Linked DNA regions of Lytechinus pictus. The protein of the gene in region 1 interacts with the protein of each later gene in a pairwise test. Links are inferred from orthologs where the notes say so. Each region holds a gene or a part of one and is shown on either strand. Other genes may lie near its edges. The genes, in order: myotubularin-related protein 9-like and serine/threonine-protein kinase mos-like.

The links.
Region 2: the proteins of myotubularin-related protein 9-like (region 1) and serine/threonine-protein kinase mos-like interact in binary tests that used the Homo sapiens proteins (3 or more experiments, as listed by UniProt). The link is inferred for Lytechinus pictus from reciprocal best matches to the Homo sapiens genes MTMR9 and MOS.

The regions. Positions count from the first base shown.
Region 1 is NC_087253.1:7,991,316-8,007,514, reverse strand, and holds the start of myotubularin-related protein 9-like, read right to left. Parts: upstream 6,786-16,199; 5' UTR 6,771-6,785; coding exon 6,755-6,770; intron 4,805-6,754; exon of another isoform or gene 4,461-4,804; coding exon of another isoform or gene 4,445-4,460; intron 1-4,444. UniProt on the Homo sapiens protein: Acts as an adapter for myotubularin-related phosphatases. Increases lipid phosphatase MTMR6 catalytic activity, specifically towards phosphatidylinositol 3,5-bisphosphate and MTMR6 binding affinity for phosphorylated phosphatidylinositols.
Region 2 is NC_087261.1:11,519,160-11,535,286, forward strand, and holds serine/threonine-protein kinase mos-like, read right to left. Parts: upstream 7,025-16,127; 5' UTR 5,538-7,024; coding exon 4,281-5,537; 3' UTR 53-4,280; downstream 1-52. Other genes in the region: uncharacterized protein LOC129268848, read left to right, coding at 14,536-14,611, 15,299-15,441, 15,829-15,957.

The DNA.
Region 1 (16,199 bases):
ATTCATTTAAATTTAATGAATATTGTAACAGTTCACAGTCAGATCGTATTCAATATGATGTTCTTACTCTCCATCAGTTAGATAGGAAGCCTTCTCATCATCTTCCTCTGACTGTTTGGAAAAGGATTTGTGACCTTGGTATCCGCCGACATGGTCCTACTCATCGCGGACACAGGCGTATGGTCTCAAGGCCGCATCCCCTTCCTTCGAGGCCTACTGGTACTCGTTTAGGTTTATGGAATGCACGATCCTTGACAAACAAGATTGATGTAGTGACTTCTTTGATCATAGATAATGATATTGATGTATTAGTTATCACTGAGTCTTGGTTTTCAGGTGATCACAGAGATGACCCTACTATTGCGCAGTTGAAATTGTCCCTTCCAAATTACAACATTATCAATCGTCCCAGGAAGACTAGGGGAGGAGGTATATGTGTCCTCTACAGGTCCACAGCACGCTGTGTTGTAAATGAAACCTTCAATTGTTCCTCATTTGAATTTTTGGATCTAACCGTCCATCTTACCCCATCATCTCCTGTTAAACTGTATTGCATTTACCGCCCACCCCAATCCTCCCGGCACACTTTTTCAAGTGGTGATTTTCTTGAAGAGTTTCTCACTCTTCTGGAAAGTTTCTCACTCTTCTGGAAAGTGCTGCTGTGGATGTTCATCCTCCTATTCTTCTTGGTGACTTTAATATTCACGTGGATGATTCTTCAGACAATTTTGCTAGATCTTTTCTTAATGGAGTGGAAGCCCTTGGATTCAAACAACACATCAACGGGCCTACACACAAGGCTGGTCATACACTCGACCTTATCCTTAGTAGAAATTCGGAAGATATTATCTCCCAGCATAGCATTTTACCATCTCTGCCATCTGATCACTCTGCTATTATATGTATTATTAATCTCAAAGGGCCCCAAAACCCCAAGAAGAAAGTGACTTTCAGGAAACTTTCTAACATTGACCCTAAATCTTTTAGTCTGGATGTTAAAGATGTCTTAGATTCCATTCAATTTCCCTCTTGCCCATCTGAGGCTGCTTATCTGTATAACGACTGTCTTGGTAAACTGATGGACAAGCACGCCCCTCTGCAGACTGTGACTGTTACAGTTAGACCAAAAGCTCCCTGGTTCTCTGCTGAAATTAGGGAGGCACGGCGACTGAGGCGACGCGCAGAACGTCGAATGATGAAGTCTGGCCTGCAGGTTGATAAGACATTATATCGTCAAGAATGCGAAACTTACTACAATCTCCTCACTGATGCCAAATCAAAATACTTTAGATCTGAAATCGCTAACGCCGACTCCAAACAGCTATTTAGTATTGTACAGAAACTCACCACCCCCTCTCAGTCCTCCATTTATCCTGAACACTCATCTGCTTCTGATCTCGCCAACAAATTCAGTGAATTCTTTAGCAAGAGGATCAGTGATATTGTGTCCTCTTTTGCACCTGACGTTCCTAGTGATCAACAACATCCTGTGGGCTCTTTGAATTGCAAACTGAGTGAGTTTACTCCAGTGACTGAAGTTCAACTTCGCCATCTCATCAAGTCATTACCACCGAAGTTCTGCAGTCTTGATCCTCTTCCAACTTGGTTGCTCAAAGACTGTATTGATGAACTTCTACCGCTTCTCATAAACATTATCAATTCATCACTCACAACAGGTGTTGTCCCTGAATCATTCAAATCATCACTAGTTCTTCCTCTGTTGAAAAAGCCCAATCTTGATCCGAATGACTTTGGCAATTATCGCCCTATCGCCAACCTGCCATTTGTTAGCAAGGTTTTGGAGAGAATCGTCGCATCCCAGCTCATGTGCTATGTGGACAGTCATCATTTACTTCCTGAGAAGCAGTCAGCATATCGCAACTTTCATTCAACAGAAACGGCTCTCTTGAAAGTACTCAACGATCTACTGCTTACCGTCGACAAGGGTAACGAAGCTGCACTCCTTCTACTGGACTATTCTGCGGCGTTTGACACTTTAGACCACTCAGTGTTGCTCCAGCGTCTTGCACATGACTACTCCATTACCGGAACGGCTCAAAATTGGATTGAGTCATACCTGCAAGATCGTACTCAGCGGGTGATTATCAATGGAACTTTCTCAGCACCTTTCGCTTTGAGCTGCGGAGTCCCCCAAGGTTCTGTTGTGGGCCCTCTCCTATTTCTTCTGTACACTGGTCCTCTTGCAAAAATTATCACTAGCCATCGGGGTGTGAGTTATGCCATGTATGCAGATGACACGCAAATCTACGTATCCATGGCATCCGACCAGAAGACATATGCTGTTAATCTACTGAGTGACTGCCTCAAGGACATCAAGGTCTGGTCAGCGAAGAACAGACTCCGTCTCAACGAAGCCAAATCAGAACTGGTACATCTTTCTTCGCAATTTAGAGCTACGGAGCCTCTGCCAGACTTCAATATGGGAGAGGGCATACTTAAGATGTCTGACTCTGTCAAAGACCTTGGTGTCACTTTAGACAAGCACCTTACCCTCCAGCCACATATCAGGAACATCTGCAAATCAGCATCATGGGGTTTATTTAGGATTGGTAAGGTCAGGCGACTACTCGACCAAGCCTCTACTGAAAAACTCATTCATGCCTTCGTCTCATCCCATCTAGACTATTGCAACTCCCTCTTTGCCGGCCTCCCAATTTCTTCCATCTCTCCCCTCCAGCGAATCCTCAACACTGCAGCGAGAATGGTAACCTTGAGCAAGAAACACGAACACATCACCCCTATTCTCCGATCACTTCATTGGCTTCCGGTTCACTCTCGCATAACGTTCAAAATTCTACTCATTGTATACAAAATTACCCATAATATGTCACCCAAATATCTCCAAGACCTTATTTCCCTTCGTTCTTCCTCATCTGTCAGATCCTTACGTTCATCATATTCCAATAATTTAATTCATGGCCCTCGCACTAAGACCCGATATGGTGATCGTGCATTTTCTGTAATTGCTCCCACCCTCTGGAATAAACTCCCAATTCATATCCAAAATGCTCCCTCCGTAGAAATTTTCAAATCGTCACTTAAAGCTCACCTTTTCTCATAACTTAACTTTTTTTTTTTTTTTTTTTTTTTTTTTTTTTTTTTTTTTTTTTTTTTTTTGACCGATTGACTGTATACTATTATAATCTGCCAACCTGTGCGCTTTGAAACACCAGTATAAAGCGCCCTACAAATGTTATTATTATTATTATTATTATTATTTGGGAGCCGTATGAGCTGAATATGATATCTCTACCGTTAGTGATTTATGTAACAATTGGCTGTCCATACTTAAACCACAACTTTAAACCCGACTTCAGAATACGGGCCAGAGGATCCAGATCGAAGACAAGATATGAAAGTGAAAAATGCAGAATGTACGGAAGAAGGGACTTGAAGGCAGTGAACAAAGTAAAGAGGATAAAAGAGAAGAGGCAAGGGGAATGTCCTACGGGAAAGAATTATTGGAGGAATAAGAGTGTGTGAATAAGCAGGTAAAACTGGGCCCCGTCTTACAAAGAGTTACGATTGATCCAATCAATCGTAACTCTATGGAAATCCATCAGTGTCATAATTTTTTCTACAGGAAATTTGCAAAATGTCCTTTGTAAACAAAGGAGATCATACCAAATTGTCAAGATATCAATGAATTTATGGATATACATTCATATCTATAATTTTTTTTTGAACAAACATGCATTTTATATGTTGACTTTGCTGGCTTTCCATAGTTGCGATTGATCGGATCAATTGCAACTCTTTGTAAGACGGGGCCCTGGTCTATCCCCAATAACAAGTAACACTACTTCACATTCAAGCATTCAAGGAATTTCTCCCTAATAGGCACCCATTAATACACCTGGGTGGAGAGTGGCAAACACCTTGCCAAAGGACGGGAGTGCTGCATTGAAATCGAACCCCGGACCTTCTTGTTCAAAGTCTGGAGAGTTATCCACTGAGCTACAACACCTCATTAGTGCTGCGGCAGTGATTTGAACAATTGATACAGAGAAAAAACCCTCTCAAAACTAATTCCGCATAATACATAGCAAGCGTTGTAAGCACTTTCTTCTTCACAAACAAGCACAGAAGAAATTATCATGGATAATGTTTTATAGATGTGATTCTATTCTATACGTCTGGACAAAAAGACATCAAGTTTGCCTTAAAAATAAGTATACATGTAATTTGATTTTTTTTTTAAAGGTCTTCAGGCTGAAAAAAATACTGCAAAACAATTGTTAATTTCATGTACATGTACATTACAATAAAGTAAGTACTTTAAAATATACAAACAATATATAGAAATCACCTACCTATTTTTCCCCAAAAAAAACCAAAGCACTACATAATGTTGCAATAACCCCCCACCCCAACCCCAACAAACAAACATAGGCATGATGTCAAAATAACAACAGATACTCACTAAATGTAGGCTCCATTGCTACAGTTTATTATTTAAGAACGTTTATAAGATCTTCTTCGAATTTAACACAATCCAAAAACAACATCTGGAAACAGTGTTAGTCTGACATTAAACACAGTGTCTTTGATCAAAAGCAGGAAAGAGTGCACAGCAATTATACAAACAATGCATAACGCTGGCCAAGCTGTCATCTAGAAAGATAATAATTCCAGACCCAAGTAAAATATGAAGGTGCTGAAAACAAGCTCTTGTAAACTAATGAAGAGGAGGAGGCACTAGAAATAGAAAGTATCAGGAACAATCATGGGTGATTGATGCTACAATCATTGTCTGTATACTATTCGGGCCGTGACTGGGTCTATTTCTAGCAAGGATTTGTGATGACTAGAAATGTTGGTTAATTTCTCGCTTCCTGGGGGCAAAGAAACAGACTGGAAGAGGGAGAGAGGAAAATCATTGTTAGCTATTTATGACTAACGCCTCCACATGGATAGAAAACCCCATCACCACAGGGTAATAGTAACTAATATTACATTGTACCTCCAAAAAAAAAATTCTACATGAAACGGGCAAGGGAGGGAGATCATCAATGTAAGCCAAAATGACTAAACGCTATTTATAACTAATGCCTCCGTAGATATATACATGTATGTAGACACCCTATTGTCACAGGGTATTATATTACTGTACAATACTAAAAATAAATAATAGAAAAATACACTGAAAGTGAAAGTGAATACATAGGCTACAGTATGTAAATATTACTGGCATATTTCTCATTTAATTTGGATTTTCCTGGCAGTGGGGGTAATTGTGTTTTTGCTCTCAAAGGTTGCAGATTTGCAGATGACTTGCTAATGCTGAATTCAAGGAATCACAATAAAAAGGCGCTTTGCCTTTTACTTTAATATTCTTATAATGTAAAAATCAATATTGATGTTTCCTCAAAAATACACTACTGCTGTACAATACACCAATTAGTCTGATCATAGATGACTGAAGACTCAGTTTAAATTTAATTTTGTCTTTGTATTTGAAATTTGAAATGTCACTGAATCTCACTCCTACAATGCACCTACCCCCCCCCCCCCTGAAAAAAAATAAAAAAATTTAATAAAAAGAACAAATCAAATCAAAATACAAACAGGGCAATTCCAGATAATATGTACATCCGACCCCCAATGGGACCTTCATGAAGTTTTCTGTCTCTGATTTTTTGTTCTTTTGATAGTCTGTAATTTCTCAAAGGACCATGACTTGGGCAGTTTATAAAGTGAAGAAAGACTAAAAAAAATGGGAGTCCAACATACAAAATTAAGGTTGATAATATATGGAATTGCTCGATAGCTCTGAAATCTATGCCACAGATCATTGTTCATTATTAATCTTAATTACAAAAAAAAGACTAAAACCCTTTTTGCATGTGTTGTGTACCATGTATTCACAGAGTTATCAGTGGCATACAGATGGGGGGGGGGAGGGGCTCTTGCCCCTCTCCCCAATTTTTTTCATGATCAAGAAAACAAAGAGAAAAGGAAAGAAAAGAAAAAAAGAGAAGGATGAAATGTGATATTTTCTGAATATCACAAAATTTAATTTTTGCAATCAAAATATTAAAATTTTTGCTAGCTTGCTTTGCTCGCTCCCAACTTTTTATAAATTTGGTGCGATACGTCATATCTAGCCCCCTCAAAACTTTTGGCTCATCACACCACTGCAAGTTCTTATGTCATCTGATATTCTGACGAAAAGGAACTTCATGCACACAATTAAATGTTGGCATACTTAATGTCATGCCTCGTGTGACATTTATTATGTAGCATGAATGCACTGTAGGCCCCTGTACACTATGGAGCCTACATGTAATATTCATTCAATAAAAGTTGACGACCGTGTCATATAATTACCCAGTATGAATTTCCTATCTGGCATCGAATCCCATGCATCACACGACATGTGACATTAAACCTCCCTAAGGATGAAACAACAGGTGATCCAACAATATGGATGGATGGATGGATGAGTATGGATGCATTTTATCGATTCAAGAACAAAACTTGTTCAATAAGGGAGAAAAGGCAAAAGCAAACAATCATAAAAAAACAATAATGATAACTACATGTATACATATGAAATCCATCAAAATCAAAGAAAATATATCAATCCTTAACAAAATGAGATCAGGTGAAGATGAAATTTCTTAATTCTCATCACAGACAAGGTAGCTTCTTCAGGCTGCTAAACATAAATATTGAGACCACATAAAACAAACTGAGATAAAATTTTTACAAAAATCCTTATTCGACTGACCTTTTTCATTGTCCATTCCTAACCATATTGCACAAACATCCCATATTTTGACCGTCAAACACGGTCTCCTCTACGATAAAAAGATAGAATCCCTATAATTCAAGAAGGAGGCTTGATGTTAATGTGTGCACAGTCTGCAAGACAAGCCTCCCGAGGGCAGTGTGTTTAGACGGTTTACTCATGGTGCAGCAGATCATGTTTACAGGGAGTGTTCAGACAGCTGGCAATTATAGATTTATGTACATACACGCAAGTGATGATTAATTTTAATCATCTTCATTTGTCTTCATTCCAACAGTGTAGTTCAGAATAAACTCCCAACTCCCTGCTGGTTACATTTACATACATGTACATGTGTCAATATGTCTAAAGCACCTGTGGAAAGGTGATTGTGTTCAGACAGTGTCATAGAGGTTGAGAGATGATGATTAAATCAGTTTCAACAGTTCATCCATGTAATGAGCTAATTGTACGAGAAGAGGTCGAGAGATGATAATCAAAAATGTTTAGACAGTTTACACATGGAATTAAAATCTTTAAGTGAGAATCTCAATTTGGGTGATTTATAAAAATGGGTAGGGCACATGCATTGACAAAAAAATCTACAAATGTGATTTGTACATGTATGTTGGATGTACAAAGTTACCAGTGACCTTATTTTTTTCTTTGAATCTGTGGATTACATGGGGGAAATTGAAATCTAGAATCAAAGAAAATGTACAGTCTTTATCAGTAAAGTTTCTGGCTTCTTTTCAACTATACAGTGCATGGATGCATTTTACTCAGGGTTGTTGATTTTTTTTTTTTTTTTTTTTTAAATAAAAAAAAATCAGATTTTTTTTTTATTTAAATCGGATTTTTATGATTTAAATCAGATTTTTTTTTTTTTTTTCCAACGAAAAATAATGGTCACACTTAACAAGTTTTAAACTATATTTAAACTGTTTTACACCAATAATAGTGGTCAAGTAGTCTTTTGAACATTGTGTATTGTACTATTTGACACAATAATCCACTTTATTATATACAGGTTATTTTTTATTTTTTTTACTTTTTTGGAGTGCTTCTCTAAATGATAACACTTTAAAGCATTTTTTGCTCTGTTTCATTTCTATATTCCCATAGACATGTTAGCATACACGTGAGAACATGCAACTCAGATTTTTAAAACTGAACACAATGTTAACCAATGCCTTTAAGTCATTGTAAAGCTTTATCATATAAGACTTGTTTCCACAGAAATAGGGTTTGCAACTCTAGAGCTACATCTGGTATACAAAGCATTCGCAAGTCACAACTGTACGTTAACATCTAATTTGAATGTAATATTTAACCAGATTTGCAATAGGCACTTCCTGATATGCTTGTAACAAAATACACATTTTATGTTTTCATTACAGTGTAACCTCAGTTCCAAATAATACTTCAATAAATTTCGTTGCAAGATGCAGGATAAGCACCACTGTCCACCACATCATTGATGTGCTGTTTTTTTTTCAAACTATTACATGAACAAGCAAGCACAGCAGTTGTATTGCTGCATACAGTAACACTTGCCAAGCAACTTTCCCATTTTTAAATTCTTACTTATTAAGTATACATGTGTACTTTGAAATTGTGTAATTGAATGTATGGGTATTGATAAGAAAATACACAAGCATGCAAATATACATGTAATTCTTATCAAATGTACACATATGCCTTCAACTTATTATTGAAAGAATGGGTATTAATAGTAACAAGAAGGAGGTACATACAAGTAGTTCAGCTGTTTTGTAAAAGTATCCAAGTTGTGGACTTTGACCACCTTTGTAGATTTTATATATTATTTTATTGAAGATTAAATTTTTTGGTGTACATACAGAGAGTTATTTATCATTACTTCGTTAGAAACTTGTTGTTTTCATCAGTTTTGCTTGTTTTACAATTTGAAAATAAAACAGTGGTGTTAAATCAGACTCCATGAGGGTGTATCATTCTTTTAAAGTATCTCTAAAGCATGTGGAACAGAAATGAAAATGATTACATTGAAAGTATCTGTTTCATATATATATATACAATAGAGAAAAAAAATTTTCATAAAAGTTGATTTTAATCAGTGATTGTTTTGAAAAAAAATCAACTGATTTAAATCGCGATTTAAATCATGATTTAAATCGACATGATTTAAATCAAACAACCCTGTTACTTGAAGAGGGGCTGGGAGTATAGCAAAGTTTCACAATTATTTGTAGATAAATGTATAAATTACACTCTTTCTTAAAGATTAACCAGTCGTTTTAATTGCTGTGATAACATTGATGGAATAAGTTATCCTTGTAGGCTATGGAGGGAAAATAATCCCTTTTTTATTTAGCCCCCGCCCCCTATGATCTCGGCCGTCAATCACGCGATCACGACAAAAATTGGCACGCGGGTAACCCATGACATACATGTAATCTACAAAACTATATGATCAAATTCCCCATAACACTCTTCCATCTTCCACAGAACAAGTACCGATACTCAATCCATCAAATCATTTTAAAAATAAACAAAAAAAACACAGAAAAGAATCAATGGATCCAGACATGAAACAGAGCCAACAATAGAATGATCATCAATGAGCCAGAGAAATACACCATGTTCCAGGGTGAAAGGTCAAAATAAATCATTCATTGTACCTAAAGGATGAGTCAAAATCAATATAAAGGATAAAATCAATATTAACGTCTTTCTCCAACATAGCATTCAAATGATTGCATGTAGACAGACATACTGTAGAGGCCGTTCTCATTACGCTTTCTAAAACTAGTTTACTTGAAACCGATTCAGGAAACCACTTTGGAAGATCGCTTTGCTAGCGTTCCCACTTGATCACACGAAAGTGGTTTTCAAAATCACTTCACGTAAAGCGCTGTTGTTGCTATGGAAACGCTCTCAGTGGGGTGACAAGTTTCGCGCGAAATTCGAAACCGCAGCATGCATGTAGGCATTCTACACCTGTCGTGTGGAGTAGCGTGCTCCAAATGTGCGAAGATTGCTTCCCGAAGAACGGTTGTGTCCTCACTTACGCTATTAAAAAAACCAGTTTAACGAGGCAAAGCAATCTTGAAAACTACATCGCGAGGTGGTTTTCCAAACTGGTTTGGAAGATCGCTTCCAAGACCGCTTCGACCGTTCTCACTACGCGTTAAACTAGTTTCCACTAAACTAGTTTCCAGTAAACTAGTTTTAGGAACGTAGTGAGAACAGCCTCATACATGCACTGATCATGGCCTTCATTATTCTAGCACTGGGGAAAATAGTTCTCAAGTGCTTTCTGTGTTTTTCCCCCTCCCGTACTTCCTATTCAAAACTCTTATTATTATTTTACAGTATTATCTCCATCATTTTGTTTTAAATATAAAATATTATTCATTCAAAAATAGGAATCTTCCTTTTAATGTATTCAAGGTTGTAAGTGACTGAGCATTTGATTTCTCAGGGAAAGTTCATTCATTTCTATAAAAGTCTTTGAAAGTTTATTCTTTCATTTTCAATTGATGATTCAACAAAATAAGACAAAAAATTATTCATAGAATGCATAAATTATTTAAAAGTTTTGGTTAGAATTATATATACACATTTTCCTTTAAAAATTACAACTGATAGTGACATTTGTAGTTTGATTGGGTCGAAGAAAACATGGTCCTCATACATGTATACTGGCCAGTGTTTACGCATTGGAATAAAAAAGAAATTTCAGATTTATTTCCAACAGAAATGACATAAATATTGATACAAATCATTTTCATACATTTATAACAAATATTTACGATACAAATCATTGTCATTAGAATTATATCCAAAAACATCAATGATAATTAACATACAATATATAAAATATGGTGCATTTTGTAGACAAATTATAATATATAATCTAAATAGCAAAAATGGTATCTGTGGAAATGGGAGATTCACTCAAAAGCATAGCTTGTATAATGTGAACCTCCCTCAAGGAAGAGAAATTATGGGTTGGTCTGAACATGTAATGGTATATCAGCAGCAGCTATTTTTATTATAATTTAATCAACATATTACAGCACTGATCTGAACAGAAACATCTTTTACACTCGTTACACAGGACTGGTCTGAACACCTACCTGTACCTATATTATCAGCTGTTGCTTACACATTATATTCAAATCAATATCATTTTCACTAAAAAATAACACTGGTCTGAACACGTCTTTCTGCTAATTATACAGCATCAGCTGTAGCATACAATTATGTATGCAGGGCAGTAGGGCACTTGTCTGAACATTGCTTATATCATCGTCCTGTATTTTTATTTTAAAAATCAATCTTTAAAACGTACCTACATGTACATATACATGTACGTACATGTACACTGCTTGTCACTGAACAGGATCTAGGTTTAAACACATCCCTATTGCCACAGCATCAGCTTGTGTTTACACACTGATATTAAATCAATGTTCTTTCCCTTAAGTACACATGTCACAGCTGGCTCTCTCTCATTATTATTTAGGGCTTAATAATCAATCAAAAATACCTAATGCTGCAGTCACATTTCCTCTATGGCGGCCGTACGGCAAGTAAAAAATGCCCCCCCCCCCTTGACAGTTTGATAAAGTGGTCAACGTTAGATGTTTGAATATGAGCATCTTTAAAGGTCAAGTCCACCCCAGAAAATTGTTGATTTGAATCGATAGAGAAAAATCAAACAAACATAACGCTGCAAATTTCATCGAAATCGGATGTAAAATAAGAAAGTTATGACATTTTAAAGAGAAATTCCAGTATTTGCAGTAAACACTGATTTCATGAGAAAGTCTGTAAAACAAGGCTTAATTGTCAGTATATCATCGAGGATCTAGATCTGGTACAGTTACATAAACTGAACTTTGTGAAATCTTGAAATCTACGCTGAAAAATGTTCACACTGAAGATCACCAACACAGATAGGCACACGTGGGACAGTGTATTATTATTGCTAAAATAAAGACCCGACGGAAGTGACCGAATCCGCGCTTATTTTGCTTATTTCTCAGCAATTACACAATTTCTTCCAGAATCCTTTGGCACATATTTTTTATTCATACAAACAGACACTTAGGTGGTCATTATATTAGATTCTGTAAAAAGTCATTTTTAGATCGTTACCAAAACTGGAATTTATCTTTAAGTTTCGCTTATTTTTCACAAAACAGTTAAATGCACAAATCAGTGATATGCAAATGAGAGAGTCGATTATGTCCATCACTCACTATTTCTTTTGTTTTTTATTGTTTGAATAATACAATATTTCAATTTTTACAGATTTGACAAGAAGGACCAACTTAACTTAACCATAAACTGTTAAAACAATGGCTAAAATGGTTCAAACATGTTCAGGGAGAAATGAAACTTCGTTTCACTTGACAAGGAGGAGAAAATTAGAATATTTCATATAATAAAATACAAAAGAAATAGTGAGTGGGTGACGTCATCAGTCTGCCATAACTTTCTTATTTTACATCCGATTTTTATGAAATTTTCAGAGTTTTGCTTGTTGGATTTTCTCCTTTTTTTTCAAATCAACTTTTTGTTGGGGTGGACTTGTCCTTTAATAGGTCTCCTCTTTATAATAGAGTAACCTGCTCGAAATTTTCATCAATTATCGAATATATTTTAATTGCAATGTTTATAATTATTTTCACCTGTTACCTCAATATTTCATAAAATCTTCAAATGTACCGCCATGTTTAGCGGCCTACATGTAGTCCCACCACCATCCGACAGCCTCTGCCCTTCATTAGACATAGCATATTGCACATTCAACAGTTAATGTGTGCTAGAGCTGCTAAATTGTGCCCAATCACAAAATTCCAATTGAAACCCATTGAACACTCACTGAATTTTCAAGTGGCTTTAATATGGATCCTACCGATTTAAAATTTGGATTCAATTTGTCTCAACTTTAAAGGACAAGTCCACCCTAACAAAACCTTGATTTGAATAAAAACAGAAAAATCTAACAAGCATAACACTGAACATTTCATCAAAATCGGATGTAAAATAAGAAAGTTATGACATTTTAAAGTTTCGCTTAATTTCACAAAACAGTTATATGCACATCCTGGTCGGTATGCAAATGAGAAGACTGATGATGTCATCCACTCACTATTTCTTTTGTATTTCGTTATGTGAAATATGAAATATTCTAATTTGCTCCTCAGTGTCAAGTGAAACAATGATATATTCCTCCCTGAACATGTGGAATTAGCATTGTTTAATATTATATAGTTCAGTCAACTTGGTCCGTATTGTCAAATTTGTAAAAAATGAAATATTGTATAATTCAAACAATGAAAAACAAAATGAATAGTGAGTGATGGACATCATTGACTGTCTCATTTGCATGTCACTGAGTTTTGCATATCACTGTTTTGTGAAAAATAAGCGAAACTTTAAAATGTCATAACTTTCTTATTTTACATCAAATTTTGATGAAAATTTCAGCGTTATGCTAGTTTGATTTTTCTCTATTTATTCAAATCAACATTTTTCTGGGGTGGACTTGACCTTTAATAGTAGGCACTTCAGGTGAAAATTAGGAAAGGCTGTTCCAGCATGTTTTATATGCTTACAATGAGGCTCAATATCTGCAATTCACAAAACTGATTGAATTTTCAAATTCTGACTTCTAGAAGTCGAGTTATTGTCATCTTTGTGATACAGAAACATGGCTTTTTGTGGACAAAAGACGATTGCGTAATCTTATTACTCTCTTTGTTTTGGGCATGGCACACAACAGAGCTTAAGGGGAATGCACATGTATGCTTTTCATTTAATTTTTTAAAAGCTTTTTGTGCAATGATTTTGATGTATTAATGGTCTACCTAGTCAATGTTCATCAAGGTTATACTTGTCTATAACCTATTAATATTCATAATTACTAATTAATTATTAATCAAGACAAAAGACATACATGTAATTAAGAAATATGGCCTTTTAATGTACTTTATCAAATTTAATGGGCGAATGAAGAAAATGGGGGCTTAAAAGTAGGGGAGACCGGGGTTAGTTGGAACGCGGGGTAAGTTGAAACATTGTAATTTTCTTCAACGTCTTTAAATAAATTTCTGCAATACTGCCCTCAATTTATTGTCATTATCAACAGCCATCCACCATATTACAGACAAAACATGTGCAACAAGCCTGGAGAAGTTAGAAAGGAATTTTTGTTTTTTGACCTTCAGAGTAATTTTTTTCTCTTTCAGAAATGTTTTATTATTTCAGAGAAGTTTATTAATCAAGTTGGCCAGTTTGGGGGTATGACAGACACTTGTACCAAGCTTCAAAATGAGGTTATTAATAAGCCATGGTGAAGTCCCTTTTTTGTGCTGTAAGCTTATGAACGTCAAATGGGCCTCCGGGGTTAGTTGGAACAAAATTGAAGGGGCTAGTTACCCCAAACATAATTATGAATAAAAATATATGAAGTATTTCACACTCTTCTGAACATGTATTGTATACCATGCTTGTTTTGTTTATCAGTTAGGTCTGAGTGCGCATTTAAGGCTTACTGTAGGCCCCTAAAGAGGCCCTAATGCAATATTTTAACCCTAATCAAATGGGGGGGATCAATTTGAGCCCCCCCCCCCTCGAGAAATTTGGTCACTACGCTGTTGCGTGAAATTTTTTGACTACACTGTTCGATGACTTTTTACTTTCAAGTCTTGCGCATCATTTGAGACCAAATTTGCGATGCCTGTATGTGCGGTTTCGAAATTACGCAACATTTTGTACGTGCATGTCGGACCCAAAATTGCTCAAAAACGTGATTCGATATACAAGGTCAATGCAAATTGTGTTTTTCAACCAAAAGTCATAAATGTATGATTATTTTTTACTTTTGTTGGTTCAAATTGATTTATTTTACGCTATTTATGATCGCAAAAGAGTCCCGACAAAGTTCATCGGAAAAAACAAAGGTTCGAAAAAACAAAGAAATACAAATAAAAAAAGAAATTAAATAAATAATTTTTGTTGGATATTTGTTATGTGAAAATTGATACTCTCACCAAAAATTAGCATTCTACTAGTTTAATAAATAGAGTTTTAGGCAAAAACATTAAAAAAAAAACAAATTTAGGGCAAATTTCATATGCTTATTTGCATAATTAATTAATGAAAAAAATATAAACAATTAATTTTTGTCTTGTAAATTTGATGCAGAATTACATGAAATTGTTATCTCCTTCTACCCCCGTCTCGATCGGCCATTTTTGTTAAAAATCGTAACAAAATGGCCGATCGAGACTGGGTAGAAGGAGAGAACTTTTCGTTTTTTTGAGGTTCCAGTCTGTGCCCAGATGTCAGGAAACTACCACTCGTTAGACCTTCATCCATATAATCGTGGTAATTGTATACTTTCTGTTTTCACAATTCATTTGGAGAAATATTTAGACCATAATAAATCACCCTAGTCCGGTGACTATGGTCAAATACATGGTAAGCCCCTGGGCTCCCGCCGGCTGTGCGGGCGGGAGCTCACTGGGTTACACAATAGCGAACTGTCTGTGTATCAGGAAAAATTTAAAAAAAAAATTTAATGTTAAAAAACTCCTCAAAACAGACGGCTGCCAGATGTCTAAGCGGAAATAGATTCATTACCTTTCAGTATTTAGTTTCATAGGGACATTTTTTTAATCGAAAAATTTGCGCAATCCTACTCCTAGCTATGGCTATGCAAAGTGTAGACAGCTGGCCAGTGTCATAGGATTTTTGGCCCGGGTACCGGCGGTCCAAAACGGCTAGTTGATTAGTACCGCCAGTACAAAACAACTAGTCGATCAGGCCCCCCGGATCCAAATGACTGGTTGAAATTTTTGCCGAAACGACAGGAGAGCCGCCGTTTGGTTCCGTATTCGTCAGAATGTAGTAAATGTAGTAAATATATTCTATAAATATCTGCTTTGGTGAAATGTTTCAATATATATATTGGTGTGATTTTTAATGTAATTTCATCCCAATTATTTATATAATTCGGTCTTTAACTAAAAATGTTGGTACATCTAGATAAGAGGTATTTCAGCCTCGTACGTTAGGTACCGGTACCTTTTTTTGCGCACGTGCAGCGCTGCACTGCTTGGACAGTTGACACGATACGACGCGGCCCGGTACCGCACTGTACCACGTCTCCTTTTGGAGTAGGGTGTACCCTAACGACGTTATACCGGTATTTGTTTTTAACCTTTTTTTATTGTAAAACATGTTTCGTGATTTTGTTTCCCAATGCGAGGATATCTCGCATTGGTTAAAGCAGGCTGGTACTAAAGCGAAGAGATTCCTATCCTTTCTAACACATCCCTTGTCTGCATATTACGTTAAAATCTATACATCACAAATTATATATTTTTTTAATTAAACAGTCAAAATTTTGCTCGCAGCTTTAAAAAAAAAATTTGCGTTGTAC
Region 2 (16,127 bases), on another chromosome or scaffold:
AATAGACAAACATGATAAGAAAGTACTACTTGTTTTTTCAGATTTATTTTAAAAAGAGTTAATAGGCCCGTTAATCATGTCTCGGAATATTTTGCCAAATTAGATTATATCCTTCATTTTAATCAAACGATGATATTCCAGTTTACGTATAAAAAATATTTTTCCCTAGATTGTTTTGACAATATTGCATTGGGAATTATAAATAGGCCATTGCCCAGGTAACTTACAATTATAAAATTATTATAATAATCAATTAATCATAACCATGATTTTGTTGACATATGAACAAGACAGGTGTTTGACCAGGGAATACTGACTGATCTGTTCTGATATCCGTATAGATCAGTGCCCGCAGGCCCCGTTTTCACAAAGAATTGCGAGTGATCAATACCTTCTATGGATAACCAATAAGCTTTATTTTTTTTCCGTCAGAAAATGCACTTTGCATTTGGAAACAATGAAATTGAAATATTGATTAGTTCTTGTTGCTTTTATATATGCACGGTTACCCTGTAAAATTATATTTTAAAAATGTATAATTAACGGTAATGATTGGTAATGGTGCTGTGCGTGCTATTGATAGTTTTGTTGATATGATCAAACGCAAAACTTTGCAAGGCGTGGCGCTGGAGTGAAGTATACAGACACCCCAAAATTGCAATTAACAATATTCAACTCGAAGGCACCGTTACCTCGTGAATATAGCACGTACCATTAAAAGTGTTTGTTAATACTAATAATTTTTTTGTCAGAACTGAGTTAATGAAATTGCAAATTTACAAAACACCCAAACCTTTTAGTTTTATACAATCATTTTTTTATTCAAAGCAGATCGATTTGTGTAGCCTTCGTACTCGCCCACGCAATGGTGCCTATTCTGTTTCATACAATATACTCCCACGCCCGGGTCCCACGCCTAGGCCTATTTTAACATGCCCTCTCCTTTCTTCAATTCATTATCGACAGACAAGCTACTCTCTGACAGTGTTTCTCTGAAAATACTCGAACCAGAACCCGATACTACCAGCAACGATCCGTTTTAGAGGTTACATGCATATTAAAGTCGCGTTTACATTATTTTGCATGTGTTCATTCTTTCGGTTCACGTGTATAGTATATGCACTGGGTGTGTCCATACAGATTGAATTTAATGTCTACTATGAACAAGGTATGAATAGCTGCTAAAAATGATATGGCATGGTCACAATCTCTACAATTACTAACGAACCATACAATCCATAATCATGGTGTCCAACATGACCTGAAACACAGGTTGAATAATGACACGAAGAAAATGGTATAGACAAGTAACGGACAATTTGTTTGTATTGACACACTGCAAAACACTGTACATTAATTAGAAAGAATCAAGTTAAATACCAGTTTGAATATGAAATACCGTGCTAACGTAAACAAACGAGTTTGTGATGAAAATACCGATTAGCCAGCGTTTTTGTTGCTGCTTATTTCAATTTTGTATTGGATTCAAGATTGTATTCAACATTACTTTCCGCATAGTCAATATCGGTCAGTGATATAGAAGTATCAATGATCAAAATAAAATATATTAACTGAACACTGAGAAATTGCAGTTAAGCAAGAATATCATTTATAGCTGATGTGAGGGAACAACTTCTTGTTTGACTGTGGTAGGCATAATAGCCTATAACTTTCAACAGAACTGATATTAAAAAGGGTATTTTTAATGGTTTTTAAGTTGAACCGGCGTGAACAAAAGAAACTCGTCGCTTAACACCATCACCCGCCATCCAACTCCCTATAATGACGGCAATTAAAACATGTCGTGTGAAGTCAACAAGTCTTTCTTTTAGATGTTAACGAATTCAGAGTTAATCTTTTCTTTAATAAAAAAAAAAGATAAAGTGTGCCAAAAGTGTAGTGGGAGTAAATTTTGATTAAACTTGGAACTGAAAAGAATATATATTCACTCTTTTTAGAATGACCCAATGATCAATCAAGCTGGACTGATGACTGAAGTCAAGAGTTGAAATTATAAACATTCACTCCCAATTGATATAAGTCCACAATTATTGAAACTTTGCTCCTTCAAGTGTGAACCTTTCAAGGATTTATTTTGAGTCGTAAAGTGGACCTGAGATAATTATGCCAGTATGAGCAACCGGGGAGTAAAAATTAAAACGTGAACTACGACAATGTTCGGTCAAGCGGGAGAGCCCATCCGAGATAAAACTTGAAGTTCATTAAGATCAAGTCTGAGAAATAATAAAAAAGAATGAGTTATGTGAATGTCAGACTTCTAGGTGCTTTCTCTTAATTATGTAATAGTTTATATGCCTCGCAAAAAGTTGCCAATTGATGAATTAGGATTCCTATTATACTTGTCCTATAAATTAACATCCAAACGACCATCTAACACTTCCAAATCTATACCTTCTTCCTCTAGCTATTCTCATGATTATGACGAGATTTGAACAAAGTTAAAACGAACATTTTCGTTCCCTACAAACTTAAACATTAGATCAACAATCATGACATGATTAACGGTTACAAAAATATGATCACAATGTATATTTTTTCCGATTTTTTCTTTCATTTCCTGTTTAAAAAGATATACACATATGGTATACAAACGACCGTGTAGGCGTCTTTGAAAACAACACTTCATGGTAAAAAGATATTTTGGAAATTAATAAAAAATAAATAAAAAATGATTGATTGCTTCACACGATATCATGCAAATCGAGAAATTGATTTGTTTACACAAGACCTTGGGAACTAGCTCAGTAACCCAAATTCAAGCAGAGCTGATATTTTCTTATCCCGATGGAAACTCGTTTTAAACTGTGCATAGTTACTTCTGGTATGTTGAATATCATTAATTTATAGTATTATATTTTAATTCATTTTCTTCGATAAGGGGTGGAATTTAGTGGAAATGATTCAAATATTGCATAGATTGACGTCATCCACTTAATCTGGCTATAGGCCTATTCAAAAGTTCAAATAAATATGATAAAGTGATTTGCAATGAAAAGCTCGATTGATACAAAAAAATATTTTTACTAAGCATAAAAAGGTAAGTAGGATTGATTTGGGGAGAATTAGATTTTAATAGAAGAATAAGCAGTCAGGTGCCCGAGTGGAATACCATTTGGATCACAATGCACAAAATGTTATCTGCGGAAGAGCCAATCATTGCGTCTGCAAATTTGAAAACATAACTAAGCAACCGATAGCCCATATATGGAAGACGATAAATTACCATTAACAAATACTCGAGAGATATTGTCTTTTAGTAGGGTAGGAAGACTGCATTCATATTGCTTAGACTGGAATTGTGTTTGAACTGTTTCAATTATATCACGATTTTTCCGATTGATATAGACTGTTGATATAGTCATTCTCGTGGGTCCCTGCCCAACATGTATGAAAAGTATCTACCATGCAGTTAAATCATGAATATGTAAAAATTACAAGATGACAATATTGCACTCCAAACCTTGCATGAGTGGATCGAATTCCTTTGATAATTCAATGATCACCCCTTGAGGATATTGAATTCTACGAGAGACAGTTCGTATCATTCCTCACTATCACCATTGATTGGAACACATACTCATTACAAATTGATCAAACTAACCTAATTATGACGTCATAACTTTATTCATCTTCATCAAATCCATGAAATAGATACACCCGGACTGGTTACCCCCGGACTTGCCTTTTATGTACCAAGTAATTTTTGTATGATGTCATGGATCTATGCAGATCTCAAGCCACATGCTTTAGTCATCATAAAGTTGCCATAAAGATCGACGATAACAATAACTCCATAGGGAGTATTTCAACACTGGCAGTCAATTAAAATACAATATCAAAATTATTACAGAAGGATTTAAAATAAAACAACGTGTAATATTGTTAAATACAAATTAAGTTAACAAAATCAGACTATTAATCATGATTATGGAGACCTTATTATGTCATCAAAGTACAATGTGACACATAAATTGCAATAACTGAGCTTACATTATTTGTATAAAAAAGCTGACCTCGAGGTCAGAATGGTCTACAATCATTGTACAACAAATTATATTTTGCAGAACCAACTCGAGGTTGACGGCATCGATGAGATCAATGGAATGTCATCCAACGTGACTGCCACTGGCCAAAGAGGGCAGGTCAATGATGTCAGGTGCGAAATGAAATCTTGCTCTGAAATTCCCAAACTTCAACCATCAATTAGCTAACAGTGATAGTCAGCAGTTAGATGGGAGTTCGGTCGTCGGCACGGTCGTTCAAGCGACGTCATCGACACCGAGTCGCATTTCCAGCTCTCTCATGATCTCCCTTGCAGTCGGTCGGTCTTCGGGTTGTTTCGGCCAAGCCTTCGTGATAAGACGGCGATACCAGTCGTTTTCTATCTCGTTCTCGTTGTCGGGTAACTTTGGTCGCTTGTCCTTGGCGACGACCCCGAAGATGACAACATGATGATTCTCCCCTGCGTACGGCGTCTCTCGCGTTAACATCTGCCAAAGTGTGATCCCAAACGAATAGATATCGGCTTTGGTCGTAGGCGCGTCACCGCACAACAGCTCCGGCGCACGATATCCGCAGGTACCGGTTAGGTAGGATCGATTTGTAGGGCTTCTGAGACCTTTGCCATTCGAGCCAAAGACTTGTTGAGAACAGCCATAATCACATAGGCGACAAACATCATAATCGTCGACAATGACATTCGCTGGCTTGACGTCCAAGTGAGCAATGTTATGTGCGTGGGTATATTGCAAGGCACGGATAATGTGAAGAGCGAAATTCGAACGGCGTGCCAGCGGCAACCTCTCTGATGTTTCGTTGATCAGTTGTTGAAGGTTCCGCTTCCCCGCGTACTCCATGATGATAAAAGCACCAGCGTCGAAGTCTTCGACGGCACTTGTGGCTAGCACGTTGACGATGTTCTCGTGCTTTAAGTACAGGGCATTGACTTCCGCGCGAAAGCTCTGAAGCATCGCTTCGGCATTTGTCCTTCGTGGGCGCAGTACCTTGACGGCCACTCGTTGACCGCAGTACTTCCCGACAAACACTGATCCAAACCCGCCACTGCCAATCAAACCTTCCACATGAAAGTCGTCCGTAAGAAGATCCCGTGGCCTCACTGACACAGTATCATTGTTGTTATCCGTGACACAGTGGTATGTTGTCCTTGACGCATGCTGGTGCGTTATGATCCTAAACTTTGAATTCATGAGTGACTCCTCCATCTGAAATTCACTGTCTCCTTTAAGAATAAAAGCACTCTGTAGTCCCACTGATTTTTTCCTCTTGTTGGAATTGTGACAATATACCTCTGCTGAGTGATATTCTCTTGTCTTAATCACACAGTCAGTGTGTCTCCTTCGTTTGAGATGAAACGTTTCTGAATCACAATCTCTGGGCGCTAAAAGGTTTTCAGTGGATATTGTCCTCTTCGAGCGTTGCAGGTATGCCTGATATATCCGCAGAAAGGCGAAATGCCGAGACAAAAGCCTCAGAATAACTTCGAATATTTTCGTCATTGTTCTTTTCAGCTGTGACTTCCAATAACTCGAATAGAAAGGCACAGCAATGCGCTGGCAATTGTCATGTCAATCGAGTGAGAGTGAAAATGGTAATTGATTGTTAAGAAAATCTCGGCATTTTGCGAGGCAAATGTATATGCTTCTGATGTGCATAACGATGTAAGCAGCGACAGGTGCATGAAGTGGTCTAGACTTTTATTGATTTATTTCAGCCTACCCTGGGCAACCAGGTGTTATTTTGTTCAAAAGGGAGCGCTTGATATTCCCATCATTGCAGTATTGTAAATTTGAAAATAAAAGTCATGTTAAAAATACCACAGTCATTGAAAGAAAGAGATACCGCAATCTGCAATTATGACCTTTGAAATATCAATTTGAAGATTAATTTAGGAGTGTTTCATGACTTCGCTGATATTTCTGTGTCATACTCATCTAACTGTCAGGGTATGCATGGTATGCTAGCTAATAACGCATCTGTGACATCCAAGATATAAGAAGTCCGTGTTTCCTTTCACATAGAGGCAGCAGTAACAATGATAAGATTAATATTTTTCAATTAGGAATGCGATGCCAGAAAAGGGATGTTATCCAGTGTGAATTACAGAAAAAGTTCCAGAAATGACGACAGTCATTTATGATGACAGTGTCGAATGTACGATTAGGACATAAATTCCATAGAATAGGATCAGTTTGTCAAGATAGTACTCAACTCGAGGAGTTCGGTCTCGAAAATCCATTTGCAAATTTCCTGTCAATCAAAAGTTCTCATTGCATTTAAACGATTTGTCAGCGGCCCATGTATAATTTCGCAAATTAAAATGAATGATGCTTAACCATGGGATGTTAAAATGAATAAATTACATTTGAAATGATCAGTGTTTCCCGAGTAAACATGGAACCACTATTATATGATCATTAGGTCAAATGGGCAGTAGGCACGGGGAACCACTCTGAGTACATCCATTTCAATGTAATAAAAGTGATGAAGAAGATATATTATCCAAGTTCGTCCATATTCGACTGGTAGAGAGACAAATCCGGCAAATACTCTGCATTGCTTTTATTCACAGAGGGAAAATATTACTCGTCACCAAAGAATAAGGATCTTGAAGACATCTTTGCTAATCATTGTTGCGTCACCTCGTTGATATTATGATCATTGTGTCTATGGTATCTCTGAAGAACTCAAGTGGCTCTGGAGGAATCTTCTGAAACTTGATCCTGGTTGAGTCTTCACAGTAAAGTTAGATCCGTCACAGATTTGCCTCATTGCAACCTCCAAAGTATTTCCACCAGCCAGGATTGCAGTAAAGCAAACACACTTTAAGCGGCTAGATATGGTTAATATTACGAGTATACAATTGTGGTACACCCATAACATGAAATGTAAAGTAAAGGACACTCTGTAGAATGGTCTGTAGACTGGTAGAGTAGATCTCGGTACTTGAGGCAAGCCAATGACATTTTCAAGTTAATACCGGCAAAGCACACCCATACCCGTCAACCGACAGGCGTCGAATAGCAAGGGAGGCACGTTGGTAGTATAATGTGTATGCATTTTTATTATTTTTCTTACTGTATTACATTTCAGAATTGCTTTTCCCTGTGTATCAGTAATTGTGTTAGATGAGTAAAGACCATATGACAGGCAATACCAGCATATTTCATAGCGCACAAGGGATCGATTACCTATTATATATAGAGATTACAAGATAAAGGTGCGTATACTGTCGCTATCCGGGTAATATTTTTTTCTTACCATATTTAAGTTCACAGAATAATGACAAAAGACATGAAGAACGGGTCAAGAAAAGTGGTCTTTAATTCAACAATAATGACAATGGTTGTTCAGTTGACCCTAATTATGATGGCACATTAAATCTTTTTTTATCATTGGTAGTGCTAAATCGAGTAAAATGATGGAAAAAAATATTTGAAAAGATGAAAGAAATGAGGGGAAAAAAGAAACTCAAGAGCAAAAGAGCGAAGCGACCGAGCTTGTCATGGAGCGGCTTTTGCATTTTAAAAAGTGAAATTGGAGGATTTCGTGCATACTTTTGGTGAATTGTGTAATTTTTTTTAAATTTAAAAATGCAAATTTTCAAAGTGCCATTGAAATTTCGAAACTACGAGGGGGCCCAAAATGTTGTTTGCAAAGCCATATATGCAGTAGAGGGGGGGGGGGGGGTGTTGATCCTCCCTACGCTGCGTATGGCCATGGCATTGCAAACGAACATTAAATTTTAGGTAACCTTGTTAACCTTTTCAAAATATTCAATGTCACCGCTCCTCCCCCCCAAAAAAAAAATCATGGTCAAGGCTAGCCGAAAATAAATGGATAATAGGGAAATCCATAATGAAATAGAAGGGAGATCGGGATGGTGAGAAAAAAAAGAAAGAGAGAGAGAGAGGGGGGGGGGTGAGTAAGAAGTATAGAGGCAAATATTATTATACAGCTATATGCATACGTTAAAAAGGATATAAAGGGGAAGCAAGTACGATTTCTTTTCTTCTTCCCATTCTTCTTTTGCTTTCTCTCTTTTCCCCATTTTCTCCTTTTCTTCTTCGTCTTCTCCACCACTTTTCTTTCTTTCTTTCTCTCTTTTTTATTCTTTCATTTTCTTTCGCTTCTTCTTCATTTTCTTCTTCTTCTTTCTTCTTTCTTCTTCCTTTTGCTTTTTACTCCCCCTCGACTTCCGTCCTTTCTTTCGTTGTCTCTTTCTCTTCCTCATTATCTCCTTCTTATTCAATGTCATTCATCTTTTTCTTTCTTTCTTTATTCCTTTCTTTCTTTTTTTCCTTTCTCTTCTTCATGATCTACTCCTTTTCTTCTGTTTTTATGGGTTTTTTCCTCCTTTTCTTTTTCTTCTCTTTCCCCTTCTTCTCTATATTCTTCCTGATTTTTGCAGATAAACATTATTCACAAATACCATTTATCATCTGAGCCCACAGGCAGAGGATATACTTCCAATAGCCTAGGCTGGGGACCATTTCATGAAAGTTAAAGTTGTCAGCACTGAGAAGTCAGTGCTGTCAACTTTCATAAAACGCCACACGGAATGTTAATTTTCGATTAAAGATGAATACTGAATATTCTTCCTTCTATAATTCAACAGAAAGTAATTGATTGTTGATCTTCTTTTCACCACAAGTCCATTAAGAGTACATAAAAAAACTTATTCAATCGCATAGGCGGATCCAGCTTTTGGCGAAAGGGGGGGGGGGCGCACTACCGAGCGGCGCACATATTTTTGCACTTCACCGGCGCCATTAAAGAAAATGTTGAAAAAGGGGTAAAGTTTGACCCTGTCAAATGCTCTTTTCAAAATGTAGGATTTCCAGTCATGCCATTTTGCATGACCACACGCAGATAATATTTCCGGGGGGGGGGGGGGCAAGACTCGAAAATTTGGTGCACATCTCACATTTGCAAATTTTTCATAGTTTTCATGAAATGTTAAGGAATTTTTTTTTTCACAACAGCAGATCGCGAATGTGCCCCCCTTCCCCCTTGCTGCGTACGACCATTCCCTGAAGTCCACTTCATATCTCATTATAACAGAAAATATACATCAATTTAAACATATAATCTTTCTAAATCATATATAGATAGAGATTGAAAAACTTATTAAAGAAAGAAACAAGCAAAAAGTAACACAAAATTATGCATGTTATGTGCGATTTCAAAATCTCGTGTATTAACCTTTTTTTTTTACTATATGTATATATACATGTATATATATACACAGGGGCGTCGATCCTTTTTTAAGATTAGGGGGGCAAAATCATGAATCAACTTTCCAAAGGCGCTCGATATCACACAAAACAAACAAACTCACACAAACACACACACACATATGCATATATATATATATTTATATGACTCATGAGATAGAAACACATATCTCACCAACAAATTAATGCGAGCGCGAAGCGCGAGCTGACATTTTTTAGTATATTGACCTGAAAACAGGAAAAAGGTGCCTGTTTAGGACTGTTTGTAGTAACTCATGAGGAGGATACATATCTCACTACACATGCAGATAATGCGAGTGCCGAGGGCGAGCTGAAATTTCTTTATATTCTGACCAGAAAGCTTGATATTCTATGCATTTTTGGTACCAATGATTAAGATGGGTATCTAAAAGAAACAATAGATGTTAAAATTTTGATATTTCGATCTGAAAAAAATGACAGTCTAATGGACGTTTGTAATAAAGAACAAGATTATATCCAGCAAAAGATTATTGCAAATCGAAGCGGGAGTTCTTTTGACGTTTAGTCCTGAAAATGAGACATTCTATTTACCTATTTAATCATGAAAAGTATGGGGTTTTGCTACAGAAATGATGCGAGCGCGAAGCGCGAGCTGAAAATTTTTATATTCCAATCTGAGAAGCGGATAATTTAAGGACGATTTTAAATAAAGAACGAGTTGTGTAGCTCTATCTCAATATACGACTGGTTGCGTAATTATACACTTCCGGTACTAGCAACGGGTTTTAGCAAAGTTTTGGGCTAAAATATCGAATCATCTTCATAAAACACTATATCGAAGCTGTCTTAAACTAAAGGCCCATAGAGGTGGCACAATGTGGAATGTGTAAAGAAGAAAAGTGACTGACCTTCTTTTTATTAAAGCATTGGAAAATAAGATAAAAATTAAAGGATTTTGCACTACGCTTTTGTATGATTCTGGGATTTTTTAAATAAATTAAAGATTTCATGACATCTGTCATTCTGTGGGCAACTGCCCCGCCCCAGTCCACTCTGTAAGGGCATGCGATAAGCTTTGTTATGACCATTCAACAATAAAATGTATAACCAGCTAGGTGCCGCTGATCATTCTTGACCGGCGCCGATCTAGATTTGGTTGGCAATAGGCCCTTCTTCTTTATTCTACCGGCGCCTATTTATTGGAACCAGGGGACGCTGATTATTCTTGACTGGTGCCGATTTTACCGACGTCACGTAAGATTCAGGCAACGGCAATTCATAATTGACTGGCGCCGATTTAGAACCAGGAGGCGCCGATTATTCTTGACTGGTGCCGATTTTTAACCAGGTGGTGCTGATTATTCTTGTCCGGCGCCGATTTAGATTTAGGTGGCGCTGATTATCCTTGATCGGCGCCGGTTAAGAACTCAGGCAGCGTCGATTTTTCTGTACCGGCGCCGATTTATAACCAGATGGCGCCGATTATTTTTATCTGATGCCGATTTAGATTTGGGTGGCGCAGATTATCCTTGATCGGCGCCGGTTAAGACTCTGGCAGTGCCGATTTTTCTCGACTGGCGCCGATTTATAACCAAATGGCGCTGATTATTCTTGTCCGGCGCCGATTTAGATTAAGGTGGCGCTGATTATTCTTGATTGGCGCCAGTTATATGCAGGCAGCGCACTGCTGATTATTTTTGACCGGCGAAGTTGTTGGGAAAAGGGTAGTTAAAAGAAAAGATAAGGAAGATATTATTGTGCTTTGCTGGGGGATAGTCTTTCCTTACTGTTACTAATACTATATCAGTGTAAAATTTTTTTAAGCGGCGCCTTTTCTTTTCTTTCTTTTATTTTTATTTTTTTCAAGCAGCGCCTTTTCTTTCTTTTACTTTTTATTTTTCGGCGCCGCTCAAATATTAGGGGGGGGGGCGCGCGCCCCCTGCGCCACCCCCCTGGATCCGCCACTGAATCGACTGGAGAAAAACAAACAAGCAAACGCACAAACAAACAAACGAACAAACAAACGAATTCTACACTCTCATGACAGCCGATTCATTTTTATGAATAGAACAGCTATTCAATATTTTCTTAATCCGAAACTCGTCATTCTGAATAGATTACAAGTCATCTTAAAGAGATTATATTCACGCTGACATACAAAGTTCCAAGGATTTTGAATAGATCGGGGAATCAAATGACGTCACAAATTATCGTCAGTTTCATTGGTGGAAAGTAGTGGTGACGTACGATCGAACAAATATAAAATATAGGCGTACTCTCTCAAATTCTGGATGATTGATAACGCTGCCGGGCGGAGGTCAACATTTTCTGGTAAGAAATCGAATTTAATCTTCTTTGTTTTATAAGATCCGTTTACAGTTTTCAAAGAAATTGGATCATTAACTAATTTAGCATTTGCGCAGCGTAAATACCCCTCCAATTTCACTGCAATTTTACGCCTCAAAATCAAATCAATTAGATCTACCCGATCACAGAGCGCAGACGATGTAACAGTTAGGCCTACCCTAACCCAGGGAGCTCCCGCCCGCGCAGCGGGCGGGAGCCCAGGGGCTTACCGTGTATTTGACCATAGTCACCGGACTAGGGTGATTTATGGTCTAAGTATTTCTCCAAATGAATTGTGAAAACAGAAAGTATACAATTACCACGATTATATGGATGAAGGTCTAACGAGTGGCAGTTTCCTGACATCTGGGCACAGACTGGAACCTCAAAAAAAAGAAAAATTCTCTCCTTCTACCCAGTCTCGATCGGCCGATCGAGACAGGGGTAGAAGGAGACTAGAGAACTTTTCGTTTTTTTGAGGTTCCAGTCTGTGCCCAGCTCCCTGGGTTAGGCCTACCCTACCTGTTAAATATGTCTGATTCAGATCAATCAAGACAAGACTTAAACTTTCAAGTGGCGAATGTGAGTGTGTTGATATTTATTTCTGTTGACTTACAAGTGATTTTCATTTTGAGGTAGGCCTAGATCTAAGATAGATCTGAAATTATTAGCTCTGAGCTAGTGAGTTTGAGTGGTCCTATCGTGCAGTTCCATGACTTCAGTCCCACCTGTGGTAATTGGTGTATGTTGATTATGGTGGGTCATCGACAAGCAAAACTCTGCGCTTGTGCGGTTTCGCACCTCATGTGAGCTGACTAAATAAGCCGCTGCTATGCTACTGTGAGTGTGAGGTTTCTGTCAGGCCGGGTGCGAAACCGCAGTAGCGCCCAAAACTCGTCAAAAAATCAAACTTAAGTCTAAACGGTGAATTTTCGTTCCAACTAACGTTACATTTCTTGGTATCATTGTAATGTTTTAGGGGTCTAATTTATATAATGTTTCTAACTTCAGTCTTGGGTTGAGTAATGACTAATGTGCCTCACTCAAACATGGTTTTCTGAAAAACTTAGGAAAATTTGACAGCAAGTAGTTAGAAGATATCGTACTTTCTTGGATCATTGAAGATAAAACTTTCGTGCCTGGTAAATTACAAAATCTTTTAACTTGCTTAATTTTGCTGTCAAATTTTCCTATTTCAGAAAACTCTGTTGGGGGGGGGGGGGCACATTACTCAACCCAAGAAAAGACTTTCACTGCGCCGAGTCTCCACAGCCCGAACGCTATGCGTTCGGGCTGGCGCAGTTATATAACAACCTATAATTTAGATTTTTATGAGCTGGGATATGGGGTTTATTAATTTTATTTGGTTATGTTATTTTCTACGATTTTATCATTTGTACACCCTATAGATCTAGCTAGTTGCGTCTTTGAGTGTGAGACATCAAAAACAAACATAGGTAGGTTTATATATATATAATAGTGAAAAGTAACATTTTTTTTTTTGGGGGGGGGGGCGTTTAGAGACCTTACGAATAAAGACTTATTTCAACTTCGTCCATTTGCTAACGCTACGCGTTCGGGCCGGTGCGGTTAGGTTTACGCCAGAAATATTATGTAGAATTTCTGTGAGAAATTAGCCTACCTTCTGTACATTTTTTTTTCTTTTAACTTTGTCATGATCTCAGACTACTGTACTGTACTCAGAATTTCTGTAAATCCTAGATTGTTGAACTTTTTTTTGTACAGTAAATCTAGATTAATTTCGCTTTCTTATTCTATTGCAGATCACGGACGATTTTGTAACACAAAAAATGAAAGAATGTGACCTTGAAAGATTCAGTCAGAAATTTGAAGGTAACTATACATCTTATGTAGCATGTAAAATCCATACATGTGTAGAATCAAGGACCCAAGGCTTGTAATAAATACTATTGATTGTGTCACATCTTCAGGTCATATCACATAGATACATGTACATGGGTATTTCCACAGTAAAAGGGGTCTTTTCAGGAATCAGGTTATTTTAATTTACTGTATGTTTCCATTGTGCAATACCCCCCCCCCCCATACAATATTTTAGAACACTTCAATGAGAGATAACTTTGCTCAAAAATTGCTTCAAACAGGCAATCAATTAGAATTTTTGACAAGATGATTTTTTTTTTTTTGGGGGGGGACGTATGTAACGCTGGACAGAAATCTGTGTACAAACATGAAGGTCAAAATATAAATGTTCAATAAAAACTTGCCTTTTTTCAACTGAATGGCCTGATATTGATTAGAAGAGATAAATAACATCAGCCCTAAATTCTATTGAATACTGGGTTTTATGCCATTTATAGACATAGTGGTGAACGTACGTAACGTGGACAGAAAATGCGACATTTGTGGATCGAATCATCCAACTACATGTACTTCCTCAGTTTTTGATCAGTGTGCATGACAATTGGCACACACATTGATCTTGGGTGAAGATGTACAAGACACATTTTTTTAATGTGTTGGAAACTGTACGCATATCATTTCAATAAATCAGGTAAAATCTTGCGATTGAACTACTTCCTCAGTTTTTCACCATATGCTCATGAGATTTGGCACACTTATTGGTCTTGGGGTGAAGATAGGCAAAACAGAGTTTTTGAATGGGTCAGAAACTGTGTTGCCATGGTTATGGCATATGAAAATTCCAGTAAGTAAGGGACGTGATGGGCAGGGGTATTAATCACATTCAGTGATATGTCTAATTTATTATGTTGTAACAGCTCTTGCATTGGAAAATAAAAAAAGTGGAAATTACTAAGCCTTTTCTGCAAAACAGTTGATAATTAGAGTTGTACTGTGTCATTTTCTAAAGATTGTGTTATACAAATGTGTATTTCCACCACTTAATTTGCAGATAAAGAAGTAGACCAAGTTGGACTGTTCCTTTTCAATGACACAAGCGCTAAAGAGGTCATCGCCCAGTGGGACCAAGGCTGAAGTTTTTATCAAAACTGAAAGAGCTTCAGGTATGTATGTGCACATAACTATATTAATTTTAGTTAAATTAGATGATCAGTCATTCAGCTGGCTTTGGCACAGTTACATTCTGTAGGAAGGCTTGTTATAAATGGTAGAGTCTTGTGCTCATTGTGTTTGCATTAGAACATAATGGGCAGCTTTTTCCAGTACTAACCCTACAGTGTCTTTCAGAAAATAATTTTGAACAGCTGTTCACTTGCTATCAGTTTATGTCCAACATTCTACAAAGTAAGACTTGCAATATGATTGATGGTAAAAAAAATATTTTTCATATCAGTTGAGGTGATCTACATCTCAAAAATTTGTGACATTTTCAGCATAGAATTTACGAAAATGACAAACTGGCAATTTCATGGGCCCAGCCGACGCTGCTAGTACCGGAGAGCAGGTAAATGTCTTGTGCTGCAGCCAAGGGCCTCTGCACCGTTTCCCTCATTCCCTGTGCAGTTTTTGTAGCTCCAAAACCCCTACATTTTGTGCTTGTTGGCTCTTAAGACCCTCTAAAATTACATTTCAAGGCCTTTGTAGCTCCAAAGACCCTATATTTTGTGCTTGTATTTTTGTGTGCATTCTTACACTTGCATACTATGAATCAGATTATGATAGTAATGAACATGATAGACATTCAGGTTTGATGAATGAAATTTTTTGTATTTTTCCCCATCTAATTTCAGATGCAGAGAAATGTAACCTGTCCTTTTTGGTTCTTCCCTTCCTATTTCCACCTGGCCAAATCAGAGGAAGTAAGTCTTCCAAAAGCAGATATGATTGTGCAACTGTTCAGGAAGCAAGTGCTTCATTCATACAACGAAGAGAAGTGAGTATTGCTTTCTATACTGTACAAGGTAGCCCGGAAAAAGTGGCAGTCGATTTTCGATATCTTGGCATGTTAGAAATTCCTTTTTATTGGACTTATATTAGTTCGTGTATTTCATGCTAAAGAAATGACACCTGCTTGTAACTTCCCTGATATGCCATGCATTAAAAAAAATGACACTGTTTCCCTAAATACTAAAATTATGTATTGATAGAAATCATCTCATAAAATCTAAACGTCTTAATTGAGTTTTCATCTTATTGGCAGTAAAACTTGAATGCAAATGTTTTAGCCATTAAACTTTTAAAGTCTTATTTCTGTCAGTGTAAATTTGTAATTTACTATTGTTTTCTTTTCTTTCTTTTTTGTGTGCTTTTGTTATTGCAGATTGGAACAAACATCCCACAATTCCTGGAGGAAAACAGGCATGCGCAATCATTTGTCCTAGCCCTTGGCAATAGGATGCTGGTTCCAGAACAAGTGTTTGTCATCGTGGAACAAAGTACCATCCCTTGATCTGATCTCCTTCAGGGAGTAGACAGATGCTTCAAACTTATCTACGTTTTTGAGCAGGACATTTTACTTTCCGCGGTCTGTGAAACTTCTTCTTTCTAATGGCATAGGCAAAAACCCAAGTTTGCAATAAAATAAACCTATTTTCAGAGAATTAAGAGCACTGAAAGTGT